3 linked regions of the Caenorhabditis elegans genome follow. The protein of the gene in region 1 interacts with the protein of each later gene in a pairwise test. Each region holds a gene or a part of one and is shown on either strand. Other genes may lie near its edges.

Region 1 (9,096 bases):
ATTATGAATCAGGCGTTTATACAACGAACGTTCAATAAATATTTCAATGAGGTGACGTTGAAATAAACGATTTTTAATCCAAGTCAGTTCAGGGCTTCAAACTGGGTTTTATTCCAAAATGTGAAGTAACTGAACCAACTGCTTCGGATGCAACAAAACCATTGGATATTGAGTCCGTGATTGGTGTATTTACAATTGGAGCATTGGGGGTTGCTGCTTCTCTAATGGTTTTTGTTTTTGAGGTAGGAGAATTAAATTTTACTCGATTTTCCAATAACGCTTCCAAAAAAATAATATCTTCAAATCTATCTCAGATATACCACTACTGGCATGTTCGTATCCTTGCCCGTCGTGCCCGTATGCGTGATCCATGGAATGTACGTAACCTGGCACGTATTGCCCAAATACATTTCACGACACACGAGCAATATTCGGACATTGATGTTATGCGTCTCGTTGATGCATTTAATGCCACTTCATCGTCATCCGATACCTCCACATTGTGAAATCTTTACTTATTGATGATTCATTTATTTACATTTGTTAAACACTTTTTAATGTTTGTGTCACATGATTCATCCTCTCCGAGACACACTCTCTCTACTTATAATCCTTCCTCTCCACCCTTCGACAAGTTATCAGTTCAACCATTTTCGGCACTTATTTTCATCAGTTTGATGGAATTTTAAACTCTTTTTGATTTGTAATACATTTTGCTCTGAAATTTCCTTTGTTCTTGTATTAGAAGTTAAAGTACGGCAATTGCAGGTTTTCAAAATTTCCGGCAAATCGACAATTTCAGCAATTGCCTGTTTTGGATATTTCGGGCAATTTTGATTTATGGCTATGGGCAATTCCGGCAATTGCCGGGTTCTAAAATATTTGCCGAATTGCCGAAAAATTGCCAAAATTCGATTGTGCACCCCTGAGTCCAGGGAAACTCTTTAAAAAATGTTATTTTTTCCAAAATTTTTCTGAAAGTTATATATATATATAATAAGTGTAAACTTGAAGTTCAAAAGTTTTATCATTTGAAAATTTGAAAGCAGCTTATCAGACCTCTCGTGACTCTCACCTTCGAGTAAAAAGGTTTCAACGACCTGACTCCTTTGGAGTGTCCTTGAATTTGATACTAGAGCACTTGAAAAATTTTTTGGAAAAATCATGCATTCCATTTATTTAATAAGCTTCAGATACAACGGCGAAAATGTTTCAGGAAATTTTGAAACGCCTTTTTTTCAAAATAAAAAACCTGTTGCGGTTTATACTTATTAGGCGCCGCTCTTTTCTTGGCTAGTGTGTATTTCACATAATGTTTTGCAGTATTCTAATAAATTCTGTCGGATAGATTTATATAATATGAACACTTTTTTCGTAATAGTTTACTCATGGCTGCTTACATCGAATATAGAATAGTATACTATTTATAGCATATAGCATTTATAGTATACCTTTTCTAATAGTAAGAGAAATTTCGCCTTTTCCTAATTTTCATAATACTTATGTTTTCGAGATTCTAACGATTTCGCGAACTCTGTAGAATTTTTTAAAACTACGAGTGCCTCTGCGGAAACTTTAAATATTAAAAAAATTGCATTCTCTTTTCTTTTAAAAAGTGCAAAACTAGAGAAAACTTAAAGTTTTAAATGTTTGCAAATGAATCATATTCCTAGAAGTCACATATACATTCGTCATTCTCATTTTCCATGTCAACACAACGAGTACAAGAAACCAAATTGTGACCTGATAAGAGCATTATTAGTCAGGCAGGCATACACATCATTTATTTTTTTTGAATTCAAATCGATATCTTATCAGATGCCATAATATTATCAGTACGTACTCTCCTCTTCTATTGTATAAATAAAAAGACAATAAAACAACCCACACAACAGCTCTTCTTCTCATTCTTTTTCATTGTCTTGATACCTCGTTGTGAATAAATTTCTTATTTGTTTTCAATTTTTTAAAAGTATTCCAGCTCTACTAACCAACAAACCAACATGCCAATTACCTGCACCGATATCCCGAAATTCATCTGTGCTCTTCTTCTCCCAGTAAGTGTTAGCGTTTTGAAAAAATTTTCATTGTCAGATATAATCACGGAAATTGCGGGAATTTAATCGCAGACTTCTCAACTGATTCCGCATGATTAAGAGCGTGCTGACGTCACTTTTTTGAAAAAAAAATTCCCGCATTCTTTGTAGATCAAACCGTGATGGAACAGCCTGACACCACATGCATTTATTTATTTAAATACGTTTGTGAAAAAAAACTAGAAAAAAAATCATTAAAAATTGGGACCTGAATGTTCTATTACCTAGACGCGAAACTTTACGATTTTTACGCCAGGAATACGGTAAACGATCTCAACACGACAATTTTTTCAATGGGAAGAGGTGTGCACCTTTAAAGAGTACTGTAACTTCAAAATTTAGTTGCTCCTCGATTTTGCATAGTTTTTCCAAAAAAACATAGGTAAAAACATAACCATACCATTTTTAAAACAAATCCTGAGAAAACCTGCGCAAAAACGAAATTTTCTAATTACAGTAGCCTTCAAAGGCGCATTCAAATAACAAAAAGTTATCGTGTCGAGACCGGGTACAGTATTTTTGACGCAAAAATTGTAAAATTTTGGGTTTAGTACAGTAATTTTAAAGGCGCGTGCACAACACTTTTGAATAAATGCAATTTTCATTTAAAACTGTAAAGCTGTAGCGTTCAAAGGCGCAGGTATTCAAAAATTCGAAAAAAAGTTTCAAATTGCAGCCAATTGGTGTTTGGATGGAAAAAGGATGCGGAGCCGACTTGGTCATCAATATTGTGCTCACAATTCTCGGCTTCATACCCGGAGTCATCCACGCTTGCTTCATTATTTGTTGGTACTAACCTTGATTTCATATAAATAATTATATTTTATATACTCACCCGGGTCATATTATTCACGTTTTCATAAATTAATATTTTGTATTTCCTACCAATTTTTATTAGCTAGAGTTAGGGCTGTTATGAGGGACGTCCCTTTTTGGGGGGCGGGGGCGATCATTCGTCCCCCTCATGGGGGCGAGGGACGCCCCCGTCCCCTGGTTGGGGGATGGGGGACGACCCTCGTCCCCGATGTGACGAAAAGTCGCGTCCTATTCATTTTTACTTATATTAGATATTCACCTCATTTAAAATATTTTTACGTGAAACTCGTTTCCGTTAAATTGTGCGGGTCCATCGTGGATATTCCACACAAAAAACGTGTCACTTTAATAATTATGAAGCAAAATCATAACTTGTTTTGCTATCGACATGGAGGATACAAACGCACATTTTTCGCACTGGATGAAGGAAGCGCCCCCACGAGGGGACGAGGGGCGCCCCTTTTCGTCCCTCATAACAGCCCTAGCTAGAGTCGTTTAACAACAGGAAAAAAAGTTAAAAAAATGAATGGTACAGTAGTTTTCAGTTTTAAAGATTAACGAACAAGGCAAAGCAATAAAATACAACAAAACAATGGAAGCTATGAAAAATTGGGAAATGATACAGTATCAATTATATTAGCAGCTTCACATTTCTTCGTGGCTGATGTGACGTACTAGAATTGGAAAATAAGGATCTTCTTGCTTCGCTTCAACCTTCATATTCTTGAGACTCACTGAAAAATATTTATTTTTATTTTAATTTGTGTCTCAACGACTAAATATCTTACAAAGAAGGCCCTCAAAGGCGGTTGCTGCCTTTTTACGATCGTGATCCGCAGTGAATTCATTGAAATTCACCCATTCTGGATATCTTGCTTCTGCTTCGCTGAAAAATTGATTTTTTTTTGATTTTTCGTAGTTCCAATTACGATCAAAACTGAGCGATTGACCTGCCAATGCGTCGCACAGAAAAAGAGGCGGGGTGTTGTTCTGCAAGCCTGCGGCTCGTGGACAACTATGAAATAATTTTTCGCGAAAATTCTGGATTTCGGAATATTTTCGCTAATTTCGTTGTTGTTAATATTCGAAATAAACTGACTATTTATGGTATTTTTCCGGCGAAAATGGCAAATTTTCGTTGAATAAACTCCAAATTTTTAGATTATTTCGAATATTAAACACAAAAAAATAAGCGAAAATTATCCGAAATCAAGCATTTTAGACAAAAATTTATTTACAGTTTTCCACAATGGCTGGCGAGCCGCAAGTTTAAAAAAACGACGCTCCGCCTCATTTTGTGTGCGGCGCCTTGCAAAATTTGCAGGTCGATCTTTCTGTTTTAGTGTTAGTATACACACTTGAGCAATTCCTTGTGGATGTTGAGCCGATTATTGGGAAGGAGACTTCCAGATGAATAGAAGAATAGTTCATCTTCTCTAGCATCTCGAGTCCGTTCTTCATCCTCGAATAGTCGATTACGGCGAGTATCCTCTTCCAGATCGTCAGCTGAAAATATTTTATTTTAAACTATAAAGTGGGGGCGACAACCGAAAGTTTGAAAAATAATCGGCGAGTATAACAAAAAAATCGAACAACGAAAATTCTCGATTTTTCAAAAATCCAAAAATAATGTTTTTTACTTTAGTAAAAAAAAAACCAAAAGCCCGACACAAACCATCGGTTTGCTTATTTTTTTAAAACAATTTTGGTCATTTTCTACCTAAAGAAATCCAAGATATTCTAAAGAATAAAATTATATGTTTTCTTATTTTTTTTATGAGCAAAAAAAAAATTGATTTTATGATTTAATGTGATTTTTATCGTTCATTCTCTGAAAATGTAAGAATTTTCGATTTTCGAGGAAAAAATCGAAACATTTTTGACCTTTTATTCCGAAAATTGGAATTTTTTTTTGGTAATTCGAGAACTGCCCAATTTAAACATTTTCGGCAATTTTCGGCAAAAATTATTTTCAACACTAAATCGACATTAAAATATCTCACTTCTCATAAATTGAACCCCTAAACTGCTTTTTTGACGGCGTCGAACATTTTCAAGTTCTTCTTCGGTTCTCATCGTCAAAAGTGGATCAATTTCTTCAACTGGAATAGGATCCAAATTCAGTTCAGCAATGATGCTCGTCTCCCGGCGTTTCTCTGGAGTTGGGAACAGACTAATAACTGAATATTTCAAATCTTTGATCGGCGTGGGCGTACGAGCAGTTCTTATTGGATGCGGGGGCGCTTCATATTCCAAATTCTCAAAAACTGGATTCTCCTGTAGCTGTCTTGGCGGGTTGATATTATCCGTAGATGGAAATTCTTCAGGTTGACGAGGTTGCTCTTCTAGAAGTAGAGTATCCTCAACGATGCGATTTGGAGACAGAAGACAAACTTTTGCATATTTATATTCTTCCTCTTCTTCCTCATCTTCATCCTCTTCATCATCGCTCACTGGACTTCCAACAGCTTGATTATAACAAGCTTTGAACATATCCCGAACCTCTGGAGGAAGACGATATCCGATACTGAAAACTGGTTCTGGTAAGTTCATGAGCACCGCGACTGCATCCGTTTTTGGTGGAATCTTTGCTATTACATCCTCCTTCTTACGAACCAGTGAGGAATAATCGGCTTGTAACACTTTTTGCACAGCTTCGTCGATTTCCAGATCATCGCTGTGGATGATCGGCAGATTGCGTTTCGATTTTTTCCGTTGAGGTAGAACATCATGAATTTGGGAGTCTATTGCGAAACTCGGATCTTCCGGTCGCACAGTTGAATGAAGATCTGTCAAATCGGTTTGATTAATCGGAGTTACTGGACGCGATGATGGTCTTCTTCGTGCTCTTTCCAACGCGTCTTCTTCCTCTTCGACTTTTGATTTCTTTGCTGGAGGTGGTAGAATTACATCTTCAAACAATTCTAAATCTTTCGGCAATGGTGGCAGTCGGCTGTTCTCGTCATCGGGTAAATCGTTGATCAATTGAAGATATTCAACAACCATATCCTGCTGACTCGCTGGAATGGTGACAAGATCAATTGCATCTAGTTGTGGTGGAAGCTCTGGCTGTGGAAGCTCAAGCTGTGGCGCGGGCTCCTCGATAATTGGTTGAATGGGCTCTTGAATAGGCTCCTGGGGTGCTGGTTGTTCCACGGTTTCACTCGGGAGCAGAGCAATAGAGACAAATTTTGTAGGCTCTTCTTGCACAATTTCAGAAGCTTCTTTGGGGAGCTGAAGAGCCTCTTCTTGCTCTTCCTGGAGGATAGCAGATCGTTTTCTGGAATCGACATCTATCGGAAATTTCTCGCCAAGTGTGATTTCAGGGATCTCAGGGAACAAAAGTTGGCTGAAGTCGGCAATTACCGCGTCATTTCGTCGTTCCTTGTTGTGCTCATTTGAACCGTTACCCTCGACAAACGTGGAGTGCATGGTGATTTCTTTTTCTCTGAAACACGAAAATTTTACTTTTGAAATTAATTTAAAATTAAACTATCAATCCATCAATTTTGCAAAAAGCAATGTCGCACAGAAATAGAGGCGGAGTGTAATTTCTCTACCCTGTGGCACGGTTTTTTCAGAGCTTTTGTTGATTTTTTTAAAATAAAATTTCGATTGTAATTGGTTTATTCTCTTTTTTTCGAATGGAAATGCAATCCGCATAAATTCTCATAAGATTATAAGGATATTTAGAGCTTCATTGGTTGTAAAAACAGGAAATATCCTCGCAATCTTATGCAAATTTAATTGGATAGCATTTTCATACGCAAAATGCGAATAAATCAAGGAAAATCGAAATTTTATTGAAATAAGGTGAAAAACCGTGCCGCAGGGTTCATGTGCGTCGCTGCTTTTTTTCAAAATCTGGGATCGATTATTCAGTTCCGAACCTCAGGTAAGGCTCAACACATCCATAGATCGCATTCAATTCTGAATTATTGTCAATCCACTGATTCATGTTGGGCAACGCATCCATCATTATAAAGTCTCCTGGATTTCCATTGATCTAGAAGAATATTCTTGATTATTGATTATTTAATTAACTTGAACTCACTCCCAATTCGTCGCCAATTGCTTGTAAATGAGCCAAATCAACCCGATCCAACTCCTCGACGCACATAATAGGCTTAGATCTCAGTCTTGCGAATTTATCTTCTTTTCTCTGCAACTCTTGGTTTCTGTCGAACCTTTCAGCCATCAGCAAAATGAAACTTTTCTTCTTCATGAGCTCTTTGAGCTTCTCGACGTCTCCTGAAAATATTAATTGATTTCTGACGATACAATTCTCCAACTCACGTTTCAAGAAATCAACCTGAACTTGATGGATCAAAACTGTTCCATATGTGAGCAGGGATAGCAAATAAAGTCCAGTTTTTGTTGCTGAGCCCCTGTGCCGTTCGGGAACCATTTCAATGATTGAATGACACAGTTCCGGGAGATTTTGGTCCAAAATCTCTCTTCGTGACAGCTTTTTCGAGTCGCCGGTACCAAGAATCCTGGAAAAGCAGAAATTATAAATTAGATTGAAAAGATGAGAAAACTCACCAAGCCACGTGAAACACGGCATCTTTTCGAATTACTTCCGCAGAGACAACCATCTGCAAGAAAATACATTTTCGACTGATTTTACGGTTTTCACAACGGCAAAATATCAGTTTTTAAAAAATTAAACCATAAAACAAATAATATAACCCAATTTTTACATCAAACCACAAGAAAAAAATACATTTGGGCCCACGGATAAAGAAATTAAAAAAATACATTTTTTAAAGGCGCACCGAATTAAAATTCATTTGGGTCTTACCGCGTATACCGTACTCCGTTTGTTTGATCATTTTTGTCAGCGCTGGCGGTTGTTTTTTCATTTCATTTCTGCTTCAAAGACGTTTTCTCGAATAATTTTTCGTTTATTCTCTTTTTTAAAATTAATTTCTAGCCGTAAATGTTATAAATTCACCCATTTAACGCAAATTTCATGGTAATCTCATGGAAAAATGCAGTTTCTTTGTTAAAGAAAGCTTAAATAGCAAAAATTCCCCGACTTTCCCCAAAATCCTGCTCGATTTTCCGTTTTCTCATTGTATTCTCTCTTAATTAATTTTATCGATAATCAATTGAATGTTTCAGACAGAGAATGAAAGCGGCATCAAATAGTGTCTCGTCGGCCGGAGGATCAGTGTCACCTACGACAACCCAGCCACCACTACCACCAGGGCAGTCGTCACATCCTCAAATCTACGATCAACAGGTATTCACAATCAACAAATGTTGATAATATTACAGTTATATTTTTCAGATGCAGTACTACTTCGCGGCTGCCATGCCGAACCAGCCAATGGCGACGTATGCGGCACAAAATGGATCTTCTCAACAGTACGCCCCAGCGGCTCCATATTATCAAGATGCCAACGGACAGTATGTGCAGGTTCCCGCGAACGGATCAATGGCTCCTCAACAGCACATGATGGTTTCTGGTCAACCGTATCTCTATATGGCTCAACCACAACAAGGAGCTCAGCAAGTCATGCAGTCAGGACAACCACAGCTCATCTATTATCAACAATCAATGGCTCCACAAGCGGCTCCAATGTACTTCCATCCTATGCAAGCCGCACCGATGCTTCCAGAACAAATGGGTGTGATGCCACATACGCAGCCGGCAATTCCACCTCAACAACAGCCAAGACAAGTGGGAGTGGAGATTAGTAGCACACGCACAGCTCCATTGACCTCGTCTACTCCTCTTCCAACAAGTCTCGAATACGAGACTGTTCAGCGTGATAATCGCAACAGGAACATCCAATTCAGATATCATCGGTAATATTAGTTTGAAATTTAATATAAAAATTATATGTTTTTCAGTGTTATGGAGCATGACGAGTTGCCGATCGATGAGATCTCAAAGATCACCCTTGACAATCACAACGATGACACGATGAGCGCTGAAAAGGAAAATCATTTCCATGAACATCGTGGCGAGAAGTTCGGTCGTCGTGGATTCCCAATTCCAGAAACTGACAGTCAACAACCACCCAACTACAAGACTCGTCTTTGCATGATGCACGCATCTGGAATCAAACCATGTGATATGGGTGCTCGATGCAAGTTTGCTCATGGGCTCAAAGAGCTCAGAGCTACTGATGCTCCGGCTCGCTATCCGAACAACAAGTACAAGACAAAGCTG
Region 2 (6,834 bases), on another chromosome or scaffold:
ACACGATGAATGCTGGTGCAATGGAAAATTGGGGACTTATCATTGGAGAGTACAGCCTGTTCATGTTCGATCCTGACTATGCAACAACTCGAGATATAACAGAAGTAGCTGAAACAACAGCTCATGAAGTTGTGCACCAATGGTTTGGCGATATTGTAACCCTTGATTGGTGGAATGATATCTTCCTAAACGAAGGATTCGCACAATACTGGTTTGCCAATGGAATCGATAACACATTCCCAGAGCAACATGCCTATTCGATCGTAAGAAGCTACTTAAAGTTGTCTTTTATTGAAATTCATGTTTCTTCCAGGACTATAACCGTTTCTACATGAACCATATTGCACTAAAATACGACTGTATTCCTGGAGTTGCTAAACCAGTCATCAGTGATACTCCACCAGTATTTGGAATTGAACCATACTACAAAGGAAGTGCTCTTTTGAATCTGCTCAACAATGTTTTGACTCCAGCAGTTTTCCAAGAAGGATTGTCTAGTTATCTAACACAATATGGATACGTTAATGCTAGTCCGAGAAATTTATGGACTTCTTTGACTGTGGTAAGCGTGCAAAATGAAGCAACGGACAAATTTCTTCTATTTCTTCACTATATTTAAAAAAATCTTTAGTTTCCATGCCAAAAATTTGTCAAAAATTGGCCAAGATTTACTTTAGTAAAAGTACAATTTTCAGGCTGCACAAAGACACAATATAACCGATTGGAATGGTCAACCTCTAGATGTATCTTCATTTATGGACCCCTATACTCTTCAAACCTCATATCCAATCATTACCCTCACTCTTCGTGGAACATCTACAGTTCAAGCTAACCAACAATCATGTATGAGCGATGAAACTCTCTGGAATGTGCCCCTTTTTACTCAAACCCCCGGGGCACTAGGTAAGAAATGAAATTCTTCTGTACATATAAGCATCTATAAACTTTCAGACTTCAACTGGTTTGTGAATTTCACCGGTGGAAACGATGCAACTTGGCTTCGACCATTGCCAACTGGTTACCGAGTTGATAATGCGGGTAGTACGGTATGAAAAGTGTAAAGTTTTGTAGAAATAATACATAATAATTTCAGAGTTTCGCTAGAATAAACTACGATGATAAGTCCTGGTATAGCATTCAGGCTCAACTTCTCTCAAATATGAACACAATGTCTTCTACGACAAGAGCAATGCTGCTCGATGATGCTAACTTTTTCTATCAGTCTGGCCGCTGGGAGATGACAAAATTCCTGGATTTGACATTGTATCTTGTAAACGAGGATTCACTTGCACCATGGGAACAGGCTATCGAGTTCTTCACTGAAATGTTAAATAGATTCCAATACCAACCAGAAATTGATACTGTAAGAAACTATGTTATTCAAATTACGAAAAACGCAGTGTCCAAGTTCCAATGGAACACGAATGGCCTTTGGGCAAACGAGTAAGTTGGTTTCAAAAAGTTAAGAAAAACATTGTTCTCTAAATAAATTTTTCAGTCGAATTGTACAACTCCTAGTAAACGTCAATAACTTGGCTGTTAATCGACAATCTAGGCAGGTTGCTCTAACTTTGTTCAACAACTTTGTATTGAAATGCAAGTACTCGCTTTCTGGAACTGGAAAGTGCTCAGGGTAGTTTTGAAAGAAGTAATATATCAATTGAGAATTTATTTCCAGAATTCATCCAAATCTTCGACAACCCACTTATTGTTATGGCCTTCGTCAAAGTAATAATATCGATGATTTTACAACAGTGAACAACCTATACTCGTGGTTTGTACAAAATGCTGGCTACTTGCAAACAGATGGATCTAATCTTTTGAATGCTCTGGGATGCGTACAAAATCTTGATTTGCAAAAGACGTTAGTTTAAGGTTTAATTGTCAAGTTACTAATTCAAAACAATAGTAAGACAAAACTTCCTATAACAAAGCTTTGTTGGAAGATTGACAACGATTTCCATTTTTCAAATAATTGTGCCAATTTTCCCGAAAAATTCAACATTTTGCAACATGAAAAATGTTGAATTTTTTGGGAAAATTAAAGATTGCTTGGCTTTTTTTTGATCAGGAAAAAATTGTCAACGTCTCAAAATCTTACTAAAAATTGGAATATTTTTGTCGGAGATGTTGTACAGATTTTACTGCAATTTTGGAAAAATTTAATTTCATAGTATATTTTTATCACGTTATAACAAAAATTGCAAAATTGCAGTAAAATCTGTACAACATCTCCGACAAATATATTCCAATTTTTAGTAAGATTTTGAGACGTTGACAATTTTTTCCTGATCAAAAAAAGCCAAGCAATCTTTAATTTTTAAAAAAAATAAAAACATACATAAGGGGATCCTTTGACTCAAGAAAAAAATAATTCATGCAATTTTCAGAATGCTTCGATCAATTCTGAGTGGAGATTATCCACCATCACTTCTCAATTCAATTGCAGTTCATGATGATTCATCAGATGTTCTTTACAATTTCTTGCTGGATAATACTCAAGATGTACTCACCAGTATCTCATAATTTATCTATATTAAAATCCAAATTTTCAGATTCTCAATGCTCCGTTTGACTTCTCTCTATACGTCAAAGCCATGTTCCAAAATTGGTCAACTTCAAACCAACTAGAATTGGCAAAGGATTTCCAGAATTCTTCCAATTATAATCTTCTTAATGCGGCTCAAAAGAACATTTATAAACAAGGAATTTTAACAGTTAATAGCAATGCCAACTGGATGTTGATCTACAAAACTCCGTTCCTTGAGTGGATTCAGAAGAATTTTGGAGCACCTAATTTGTAAATGTTGAATATTTTCTAGTATTATTTAGCAATTGAAAATAAATTTTAAAAAATAAATAATTAAACGTGTATTGCTATTTTTATTTTTATTTTTTTAAACGTTTTTTTTGCGATCTCCTCCCCCCAAACCAAGATATCAATTTATTTTTCAATTTGTCGAGAATGGCAAACAACCGTTCAACCTATGGAAACGTCAACAATAAAAGTAAGATTTTTTGCAGTTTTTCAGATTTCTCTCACTTCAGAAATTAATTTCAGGTGATCTAAATGTAGACGATATAATTGTAAAAATCCTGAACATTGGATCAGGCGGGAACAATTTCGAAGCAATTATGAGCCAGAAGACACTTGTTTCCTTGTTGGATGCAGCCAAGTAAGAATAAGCCGTGTGCCTGAAGGATGCCTGCCTGCCTACGTTTTATCTACTTGCATATTTACGTCAATACTTTATGCCCACCTTTTACCTACCTCATGACTACTTCAAACCTATTCAAATGCTTACTGAAGGCTTTTCTACGTGCCAGCCTACCTGCCTACCTACATGTTTTCTACTCACGCGAGACAGCCTATGGGCCTTTCTGTGCCTGTCTACGTGCCTACTTGAAGTCTATACCTTTCCTACCTATCTACGGGTCCTCCTAGGAGCCTTCGGCATGTCTGTCAACGCGTGTACCTAAGTGTCTACGACTGACTGCTTTAGGAAAATGCCTATATGTTTTGGCAAGAATAAGGAATGGAGCTTCGGACGCTTTTTTGTCCGTTTCCACACTTCTAGTTTGGAAAATAATAATTTTATACAATCTATTTTTTTCAGGGATGTATTCATGAAACAAGGTGCAATGCTCGAACTTGAAGCTCCTGTGAAGATCTGTGGTGACGTACATGGTCAATATTCGGATGTTCTTCGCCTTTTCGATCGTGGAGGATTCCCACCATTGGTCAACTACTTGTTTCTGGGGGATTACGTCGATCGCGGACAACAAAGTCTAGAAGTTGCCTGTCTGTTCCTGGCCTACAAAGTCAAATTTCCCGGGAACTTCTTCATGTTACGCGGGAATCACGAGTGCGGATCCATTAACCGTGTCTATGGATTTTTGGATGAAGTTCAACGGAAATATGGAGCAAAGGGTGGAACAACAATGTGGAATTGCTTTCAAGTTAGTGTTTTGATTTTTAAAATTAAATTTAAAATGTTTGTTCCAGATTTGTTTTGCGTATATGCCGTACACTGCTCTGGTCTCCGGAAGAATTCTTTGTATGCACGGTGGAATCAGTAAACGGATGAACAATTTGAATCAACTTCGCAATCTTCAAAGACCGGTTTTAGAAGTCGCTAATCCGAGCGTCGAAATAGATATCCTCTGGTCAGATCCTGACTCAACAGTTGATGATTTTGTGGACAGTACCCGTGGAGTTGGTCAAGTTTTTGGAGCAAAAGCATTGACAGCTATAATGAATAAACTGGACGTTGATTTGGTTGCACGTGCACATCAAGTAGTTCAAGATGGATATGAATTCTTCAACAACAAACGTCTTGTCACAATTTTCTCAGCTCCTCATTACTGTGGAGAATTTGACAATGCGGCTGCGATGATGAATGTTGACAAGAACTTGACTTGCTCCTTCCAGGTAAATTTTAGAAAGAATGAAAAGAGTATTAAATTATTTCATTTCAGATCATGAGACCCTCCATCGATGCAAAAAAGTGAACTACAAGTGAAGAAAGCAAAAGAATTCTCAATTTATGCATGTATTTTATTTCTGTGAAAATATTTTGAATAAATTTGAAATTCTAAAGCTCAACATAATAAATACATATTTTTTACCCAGCTTTCAATTGATTAACATATCTACTCGCCTTTTCCTGCCTACGTGCCTATTCACCTACACTTCGCATGTATTTTCTTGAAAATCCATTGATTATCCGAATGCCGGAAGCCCAATATATGTCAGCTTAATTTGGAGTCCTAGTACATTTAATTTTACAAGAATGTGAAAGATTTTGTTAACAATAGTTTATTCCTTTCAAATCAATGATTTATGGAGCCTGGAAACCCCCGGTGTGCATTAGGGTCCAGTTGACTTCGGATAGCCAGATTCTGCTCACAAGAATGTACTTGAAGAGCTCAACTGAAAATTCAATTTTTGTTGGTTTTTTAATACCTAATTCTTTCAAATACCCGCAATAAAGAACGCGGCTCCAATTTCAACACAGAACCCGGCGACGACCCCGAAAACAAAGCGAAAGTCTGGGGAAGTCATATTTCCGTAATGTTCAGGACGAAAATGAGTTCCGTTCTTTTCTATTGCTTCTATTTCTCCCGATGCAAAGAAGCTGGCAGACACGACTGGGAACAGTAGAAATGGGATCACTGATAGAATTGTTGCAGTCATCTCAAAAATTGAGAATTTGTTGGTTGGTTAGCAGGTGATTTTGTTTCAAAACTTTGGCCATATTGACATCATACAGAACACTAGATATTCAACTAGAAAATTGCTCTGATTTTTATACTTAAAACTTATAGTCAGAGCTTCTGAATTGGTTTAGAAATCGCGCCTCTCTTTAAGAGCATGGAGCAAAAAATCTTACAGTGAGTCTTTGAGCCCATTTGAGGTGTTTAACGTCTCGCTTGGCAACGGCGAAAATCAAGAAACCATTGAAGAATAGGTAGGCAATTGGAATCAGAGACAGGAAAATGCCGTGAGGGCCATAGTAAAATTGAGCTCCTGAACGAAGGATTCCGGCCGATGCGAGAGCATAAATCACTGGACGAATTGGTAGGCACCCAATTTTCATGACGGCTGAAACGGCGTTGTCAGTTAAATTGTACTTGATAAAACAGCAAATAAATTATAAACACTAAGAATTATAATGGCGATTGAAGAAGACAAAAAAAAGTTTATCTGAAAACGAAAGGCGGAGCTTTTCAAGTTTTCAAGAAAATGAAGTCAGGTGTATATGATTATAGGTTATGTTCATCACCATAGTAACCCATCGACCAACGTTCATTCAAAAAACTGAAAAAAAGGTTTATTCAAGCATGAGGAAATGATTGGGCCAAGAAAATTTGCGAACAAATTAATTTACGAACAACACTTCGCTACGAGATATTCGAGCGCAGAAAGCAATCCATTCTCTTGATCTGCGCACAGAAAAGGGAGACGAGTCCCAGTCGAGCGAGGAGAAACGAGAATGAAAGGTGCGAATGTGTGAAAATTATTTTTCACAGACAAGCTTGAGTGTCTAATAATTATTTTCAATTCTTCGGCCACCGGTAGACATAAAGGATATATTTTCAATTTTTTCAATTTGAGAAAATCTTTATTAGTTTTCTTTTTTTTCATGACTGAAAGTATATATTCAAAAGAGAACTATGATAGATGCCGGGCGTGTGAAAAAAAATATGCAGACAGAAAATAAATTAGAAAATAAGGTAGATAATGATATATCAAGATTAAGCAACAATTTTGATGTCATTTGGATTCTTTTCAGGAATTGGCTCCTCGATCTTCTTCTGCTCTGGCTCTGGCATTTGGTTGTCAAAGTACTGGAACGGGAATGTCGCGAGGACACAGATACGCCTCATTTCACCTGAAATATTGTAGCGAGAATATCATACAAAATTCAACTATCCTTACCATACAAAAATATTGCAAAGCATCCCTGAGCTAGAAGTCCCACAGTCATTTTAGTGTGGAACAGATCTGAATTGAACAATCCATTGCACGCGTGTCTTTTTGGATCACAATCCTCGTATGTTGAAGTAACCGCCGTGAGGAACACTGGGGCAGTTGCAAACCCATAGAAAATCCAACCGAAGTGGAGACACTGAGAATAAATGTTTAATCGCGCCCGGCCAGCATATATTCTGTCCTACCGATATGAAGATCTGGAATCTCTGGAGAGATTTTTTCATTTTCAACGTGACAACGATGTTGAACAGGGCAAACGCAATGGTGAGAAGAAATTGATTCAAAAAGTATGGATAGTATTTAGGGATGTAATAAATGAGTCCTCCATTGAAGACGAC
Region 3 (5,657 bases), on another chromosome or scaffold:
TTTTCTTCTTTTATTAATAAACAGTTAAAGTTTCCTTGAGAACAATGTGGTTGAGCAACGCGAACAAATCATCAATGTAAATTTCAGCGGATTCGTTACGACGTGTCTCACCACATCGTTAGTAGGATTTCAGAACACATTAAGTAGAAATCAAGAGACGCGGAATAGTGAAATGAAAATGCGACGTTTACCTTTCTGAGAAGGACGGTTACACCGGATGTACGCGTCGACGCTTTAATCTAATAAGGATAAGGTTCAATGCATGAAAAGGTGTTTACATTTGAAACCTTCTATTTCGGTTAAAAGAACTCGAATGAAATATTGCATCAGAAAATCTATAGTTTAGAAAATGCGTTTATTTTTAGAATAGGACAATTTTACAAGCAAGAGTCATAAATTAATACAAAAATTACAGAAATGTCAAAAAATAACGATATTCACAACCATTCGGATAGAAATTAAAGAGACAATCAAAAGGGTCATTTATTGTAGTTGCTTGATCTCTTTTCCTGTTTTCTTCAGAGCTTCAAGTACATCAGATGCTGGTAAATCAGTTGTAACTGTGATTTTCTTGGTTTCCACGTTAATATCGTCAATTTTGATTTTGTCTTCTGTAGAATAATAGGATTAATTTGATTAACAAAAAGTAAACCAAACCTCCAAGCTTTCCTAGAACTTTTCGCGCAGCATTTGCACAGCCATTGCATGTCATGCCCATTTCGAAAACGTACTGAAAATGTTCAAATTATTTTTTTTTTCACAAATATGAGAATATTTAATTGTAATTTGTAAAAAGTTAAATAATTTACCTGTGTCATGATATTTGTTGAGTCAGAAATCTGGAAACTCTGCTTCTGCTTGCCTGAAAAACGTTAATTTGAATGATTGGAATTAGTACAGTCGAAAAGAAATGAACAAAGAGACGCAAAATGGAGAGACAGTGATAGGGCGACTCGTGGTCAATGCTTTATCTCTGAGAATTTGCATCATTCGACATTTTTTGATCAAGTTTTCAAGAAACTGCGATAATTAAAAAAGGAACTATTGAGATGGGACAACTCGAATGGTTTAAGCAACTTTTAAATGTTTTCCAGTTTTTTTTTTTACTTTTTGGAAAAATTTATGGAAAAATGAGAAAGAAGCTTAGAAACAGGATAAAGACACCAAATGACGTCACAGCTTTGCATTAATGCATCTTCTCTATTTTCTCGGCGTCTCACTCATCTTCTACTTTGAAACGAGCGTTTTTATGGGGTGAGAAAATTATCGATTTTAAGGGTGATCAGTTAAAGAGAAAAATAAAGACGATAACATTTTGATGGAGCCTGTTAAATGTTGTGAATTGGAAGAAATAGAGCCTTATATAAAGAACTGTTTTATCATCTACAGTAGTCCGAAAGCCATTTAGCAGGATATTCGAGGCTGAAGAGAAGTTAACTATATTTAGATAGCATAACTTATTAAAACTCAAAAAGTACAAGGACATTGAAAAAGCGGAAAATACAAATACTCAGTTTAAATTAACTAAAAAACCAAAACCCACATCTTTTTCATGCATGATGCATGGGTATGATTAATTTTATGTCGTCAAGTATGGTGTCGCATACGCAGTCTGCAGTATGTCGTATTATCTGATGCTAGCGCAACTTTCGAAAATTCAAGGTTCTTTTTTCATTTTTATGGAGGATTTCGCAGCGTTTTAACCTTTTTAAATGTGTTTTGTTGAGTTTATGTTTATTAAAACAACTTTGTCACTATTAGAAAATAGATACATCTTTCCATCTCACTGAAAAAACCGTCAGATGGGTTTTAAACTTCTTAAATTGTTCAAACATAACAATTGTGATTCGGAAACGCTTTGAATGTATTTTTATTGCTTAAATTACTTGTGTCCTTCACTATTTTCGATATCCCTCGTTTCAAAATATATTATTTAAAAATATTTCAGAAATGTCCGCAGTTCAACCAGTGAACCCAAAACCGTTCCTCAACAGTCTCACCGGAAAGTTTGTCGTTTGCAAACTGAAGTGGGGAATGGAGTACAAAGGTTTGTATTGACATAATGAAATATTTCACCAAAAGCGCCAAATGTTTAAGGTGTCCTTGTTGCTGTCGACTCCTACATGAATCTGCAGCTGGCTCACGCCGAGGAGTACATTGACGGAAACAGTCAAGGAAATCTCGGAGAGATTCTTATCCGGTTGGTGCATTTTTTAAAAGAAAAAATTCAAGCCGTAGAAACTAAAGTTATTACAATCTTATGCACATTTATATCGTAGTAAATCTTGAAAAATGTTCTAACTTTAGATGCAACAACGTTCTCTACGTGGGAGGCGTGGACGGAGAAAACGAGACGAGTGCCTAAATTCTTCAAACCCTTCTCAACAATTGATCTTATGTTCACAAGTTTTCTGTCTTTTTCGCACATTCTTAATCAATAAATTATAATTATCTTATTAAAGAAGTTTTTAAAATATTTATTAAATGAAAAAAAAAATCATCAGCAAATTATGTAAATTATCAAAGACACAGCGAATCCTCTTTCACCAACGTGGCGCTCATTTCATTTTTGACATCTACTTCTTCAACAACTACAATACCATTCTCAATTGTCTTCAGCTTCTCTTTCTCATTCATCTCCTGATCATCCTCAACTTTAGCCCAATCTTGTAATTCTCCTGATCCGAATAACAAGAATATTGAACCAGAGAAAATATGTGCCAGTGAGCATCCTATGAAGATATTCTGCCACTCCGCAGCGGTTCCCTAAGAATATGGATAGCAAGTAGATTTGTCAAAAATCTCTAAAATAGCTTACGTCTTTTCTGAACATGCTCATGACTGCAGGAGTTGTCAATCTACCAATCATTGCAACAAACATTGAAATTGCAGACATGGTTGCAGTATATTGTGGTGCCAAACTGAGTAGTGATGTGTAAAATCCACTCACAAATGTTCCCATTGAGCTATACCTGAAGACTTTAAATTTGGAAAAGTCGCTGAAAAGTATCGAAACTCACATTAAACAGAAGAAAATAAGGCCAGTTGTTGGATTAGAGCAATCGACAAAGAATGCAAGTAAAATAAGTGAGAAGGAACTCCCAAAACTTGCTGAAATAAATACTATTTCTGGAAACTTGCAAAAATCAACTGACCAACACCATGTGATACCTTTACAGCTTTAGTATTACTGAGAATCTTATTTTCTTTTAATTTATCTATTCCAATACCCCAAACAACTTTGAATATCATATTGAAGATGTTGGGAATTGCAGTAAATGTACCATTCTGAAATGATTACAAATAAAAAATAATATTGAAATGTTGAGTGTCTTACAGCAATAACGCCCAAATGTAGAACTTCTTTGAAATATGAAGGCAAGTAAATTTGAAATAGTGTCATGAAAAGATTGACAAAGAAATGACATTGAAGTTGACCAAGAAATGCAGGAGAAGTTAGAATTTTAGAGTATGGAATCGAACGGGTTTTCTGAAAGTTTCAGAATAACATGATATGATTTTTATTCTAAAACTAGAGTGCTAAAACGTTTTCCTGTATGAGAAGATACTTTAATTTTTTTATTTTGTATTTTGTCTCGAAGTTATTTGGATTTCGAATTATTTACTACGGTAAGTACATTCCCAAAAAAATTTGTTACTCACTTCGGACTTGTGCACTTTCTTTACCACATTTGCCAATAAGTACTCTTTCTCCTTCTTTGTCATCATTTTTACTTTTGCCGGATGACTAGATGCTGTGAAGAACCAGAGAATCGACCATCCAGTAGCAAATATTCCTGGAAATAATTTAATATAATATGAAATCCAGGAAAAGTTGTCTGAATAAAAGTTTGAAGATTATTTAGGTAGAAAAATCCCGACAAAACTTAAGTTTTCAATTCCCTACACATACCAGCAAAATAAAAAGTAGCTGGCCATCCCAAATCAGATGCACAAACCGCTGCTACCATAGGACTTCCTGCAGCTGATGCAATTTGATTACCTAATGTAAAAATTGATAAAGCTGTGCTCTTTTCTGAGCTGGGAAACCAATTCCCAATAATTGCATTGTTCGTAGGAAATACAAAACCCTGGAACTTTCATAAGTATTTATTCTGCAACTGATCACATTGTACCTCTCCTAACCCCATTCCAATTCTTGCCAGGAAAACTGAAAAATATCCGAAATGTGTCGCCAAAAAAGGAGTTATTACGGTAACCAAAATGTAAAGGGCTACAGAAATTTGAAGTACGTGACGTGGAGAAAAGCGCTCAATGAAGAACATTGAAGGGAGTACTGTAATAAGTGATCCCCAAAATGTTCCAGAAAATATAAGATTTTGTTCGTAGCTGTTCCATACCAATTCACCCTGAAATTAGAATATACCAGATTCAAATAAGTAAAACAATTGTACCCCATAATCAACAACAACTTTCTTTTGCCCATCTTCATCCATCAAACCACATTGACCATTAGATCCCAAATTAATCTGAAAACAATACATACAAAATAAATCTGAATTCGTTTCACAAACCTCCTCTATAATAGAAATTTCAGAGACATTTGAATTTCCGGCCAATTTAATTTCATTTTCCACTGCTAAAGCAGTAGAATTAACCATACAAGTCATTGTCAGTGCAAAATGAATTCTCATAAAAGTTGTGCAGAAAAATCCGATCTGGAAAGAAAAAGTTACCAAAATTTTTGGCATATTGGTAAAAGTAATACTCACCATACATAGTAGAACAATATGAAGCCGCCGGGAAAATGGGTGAAATAAAGCTAAAATTGGGTAAAAGGTTTTTGAAGGAAGCATACAATGATTACATACAACTCGGAAGAGTTGTCAATTCATTGGGATATTTGATTGTCGAATTCGACGGGAATAAACTGCTTAATTTTAAAATCAGTTGGAAAAATTTTAGAAAAATTCTCACGAAGGACATTCCTCTTTTCAAAAAACGATCGAATTATGGCAGAAAATACAACTTACGGAATTTTTTTGCCATTTTGAAATGAGATTATAGAATTTATACGAATATTGAGATCAATAGGTTTATAAAAACTTTTTTACGAAATATATAAAATTTTCAACAAAAAACGAGTCAGTCACAACTTTCTCTGACCTGAAACACTCATTCTTCATAAATTCTTCAAATTGATTGTGCTCTTTGTGAGTAAATTCATCATTTTTTGATTATTTAAGAAACTAACGATTATTGTCAATGTAGTTTAAGAAATTTCAGTTCAAATGATAAGAAAATGATTTTTTCAGGTGGCTTGGATGTAGTCGTGTTTTATTATTTTTAAAGATTTTCTTGTATCTTTTGCAGAACAGTTTATTCTGAACCTTAAAAAATCGGGATGTACCTCCTCGTCCTTTCAATTTGTGTAAATCATCGAATGGTTGTAGTGAACAAGTCGATTTTTTCAATTCTCATTTTCTTATCAGCGATCTTTGAACAATGACATGATCAATTCCAAAAGCAGAAACTCTGTCCCGAAAGGAAAACTGAATTGCTTTTTATGATGAGCATTTGTGAACTACTCATGTTATGTAAAGAACGTTGAAAGATATATAATAACTCCCTATATTGTGATCTTTCACAGATGCTGGGAACGGATGGTAGTACCACAAAGATGTGATCGCATAATC

The links.
Region 2: the proteins of rec-8 (region 1) and T16G12.7 interact in a two-hybrid assay, tested with the Caenorhabditis elegans proteins (one large-scale study listed by BioGRID).
Region 3: the proteins of rec-8 (region 1) and snr-5 interact in a two-hybrid assay, tested with the Caenorhabditis elegans proteins (one large-scale study listed by BioGRID).

Annotation. Positions count from the first base shown.
Region 1 is NC_003282.8:13,345,684-13,354,779, forward strand, and holds rec-8 (Meiotic recombination protein rec-8), read right to left. Parts: upstream 7,511-9,096; coding exon 7,458-7,510; intron 7,409-7,457; coding exon 7,209-7,408; intron 7,164-7,208; coding exon 6,967-7,163; intron 6,919-6,966; coding exon 6,803-6,918; intron 6,361-6,802; coding exon 4,916-6,360; intron 4,419-4,915; coding exon 4,271-4,418; intron 3,799-4,270; coding exon 3,701-3,798; intron 3,647-3,700; coding exon 3,558-3,646; 3' UTR 3,439-3,557; downstream 1-3,438. Other genes in the region: glr-9 (Solute-binding protein family 3/N-terminal domain-containing protein), read left to right, coding at 1-51, 93-242, 315-506; W02A2.9 (Plasma membrane proteolipid 3), read left to right, coding at 2,004-2,057, 2,773-2,892; Zinc finger protein mex-5, read left to right, coding at 8,047-8,160, 8,209-8,729, 8,775-9,096.
Region 2 is NC_003281.10:10,036,221-10,043,054, reverse strand, and holds T16G12.7 (Serine/threonine-protein phosphatase), read left to right. Parts: upstream 1-2,957; 5' UTR 2,958-2,965; coding exon 2,966-3,008; intron 3,009-3,061; coding exon 3,062-3,176; intron 3,177-3,617; coding exon 3,618-3,960; intron 3,961-4,006; coding exon 4,007-4,432; intron 4,433-4,479; coding exon 4,480-4,512; 3' UTR 4,513-4,597; downstream 4,598-6,834. Other genes in the region: T16G12.1 (Putative aminopeptidase-2), read left to right, coding at 1-263, 314-562, 696-903, 952-1,046, 1,094-1,443, 1,499-1,633, 1,679-1,864, 2,391-2,505 and 1 more; M04D8.7 (DUF2700 domain-containing protein), read right to left, coding at 4,842-4,933, 4,984-5,197, 5,394-5,600; xbx-3 (X-BoX promoter element regulated), read right to left, coding at 6,259-6,395, 6,443-6,632, 6,682-6,834.
Region 3 is NC_003281.10:7,860,122-7,865,778, forward strand, and holds snr-5 (putative small nuclear ribonucleoprotein F), read left to right. Parts: upstream 1-1,948; 5' UTR 1,949-1,950; coding exon 1,951-2,047; intron 2,048-2,097; coding exon 2,098-2,200; intron 2,201-2,307; coding exon 2,308-2,365; 3' UTR 2,366-2,453; downstream 2,454-5,657. Other genes in the region: cuc-1 (Copper transport protein ATOX1), read right to left, coding at 484-611, 658-730, 810-818; putative transporter slc-17.3, read right to left, coding at 2,521-2,766, 2,819-2,972, 3,021-3,111, 3,156-3,288, 3,338-3,490, 3,664-3,797, 3,914-4,091, 4,137-4,370 and 4 more.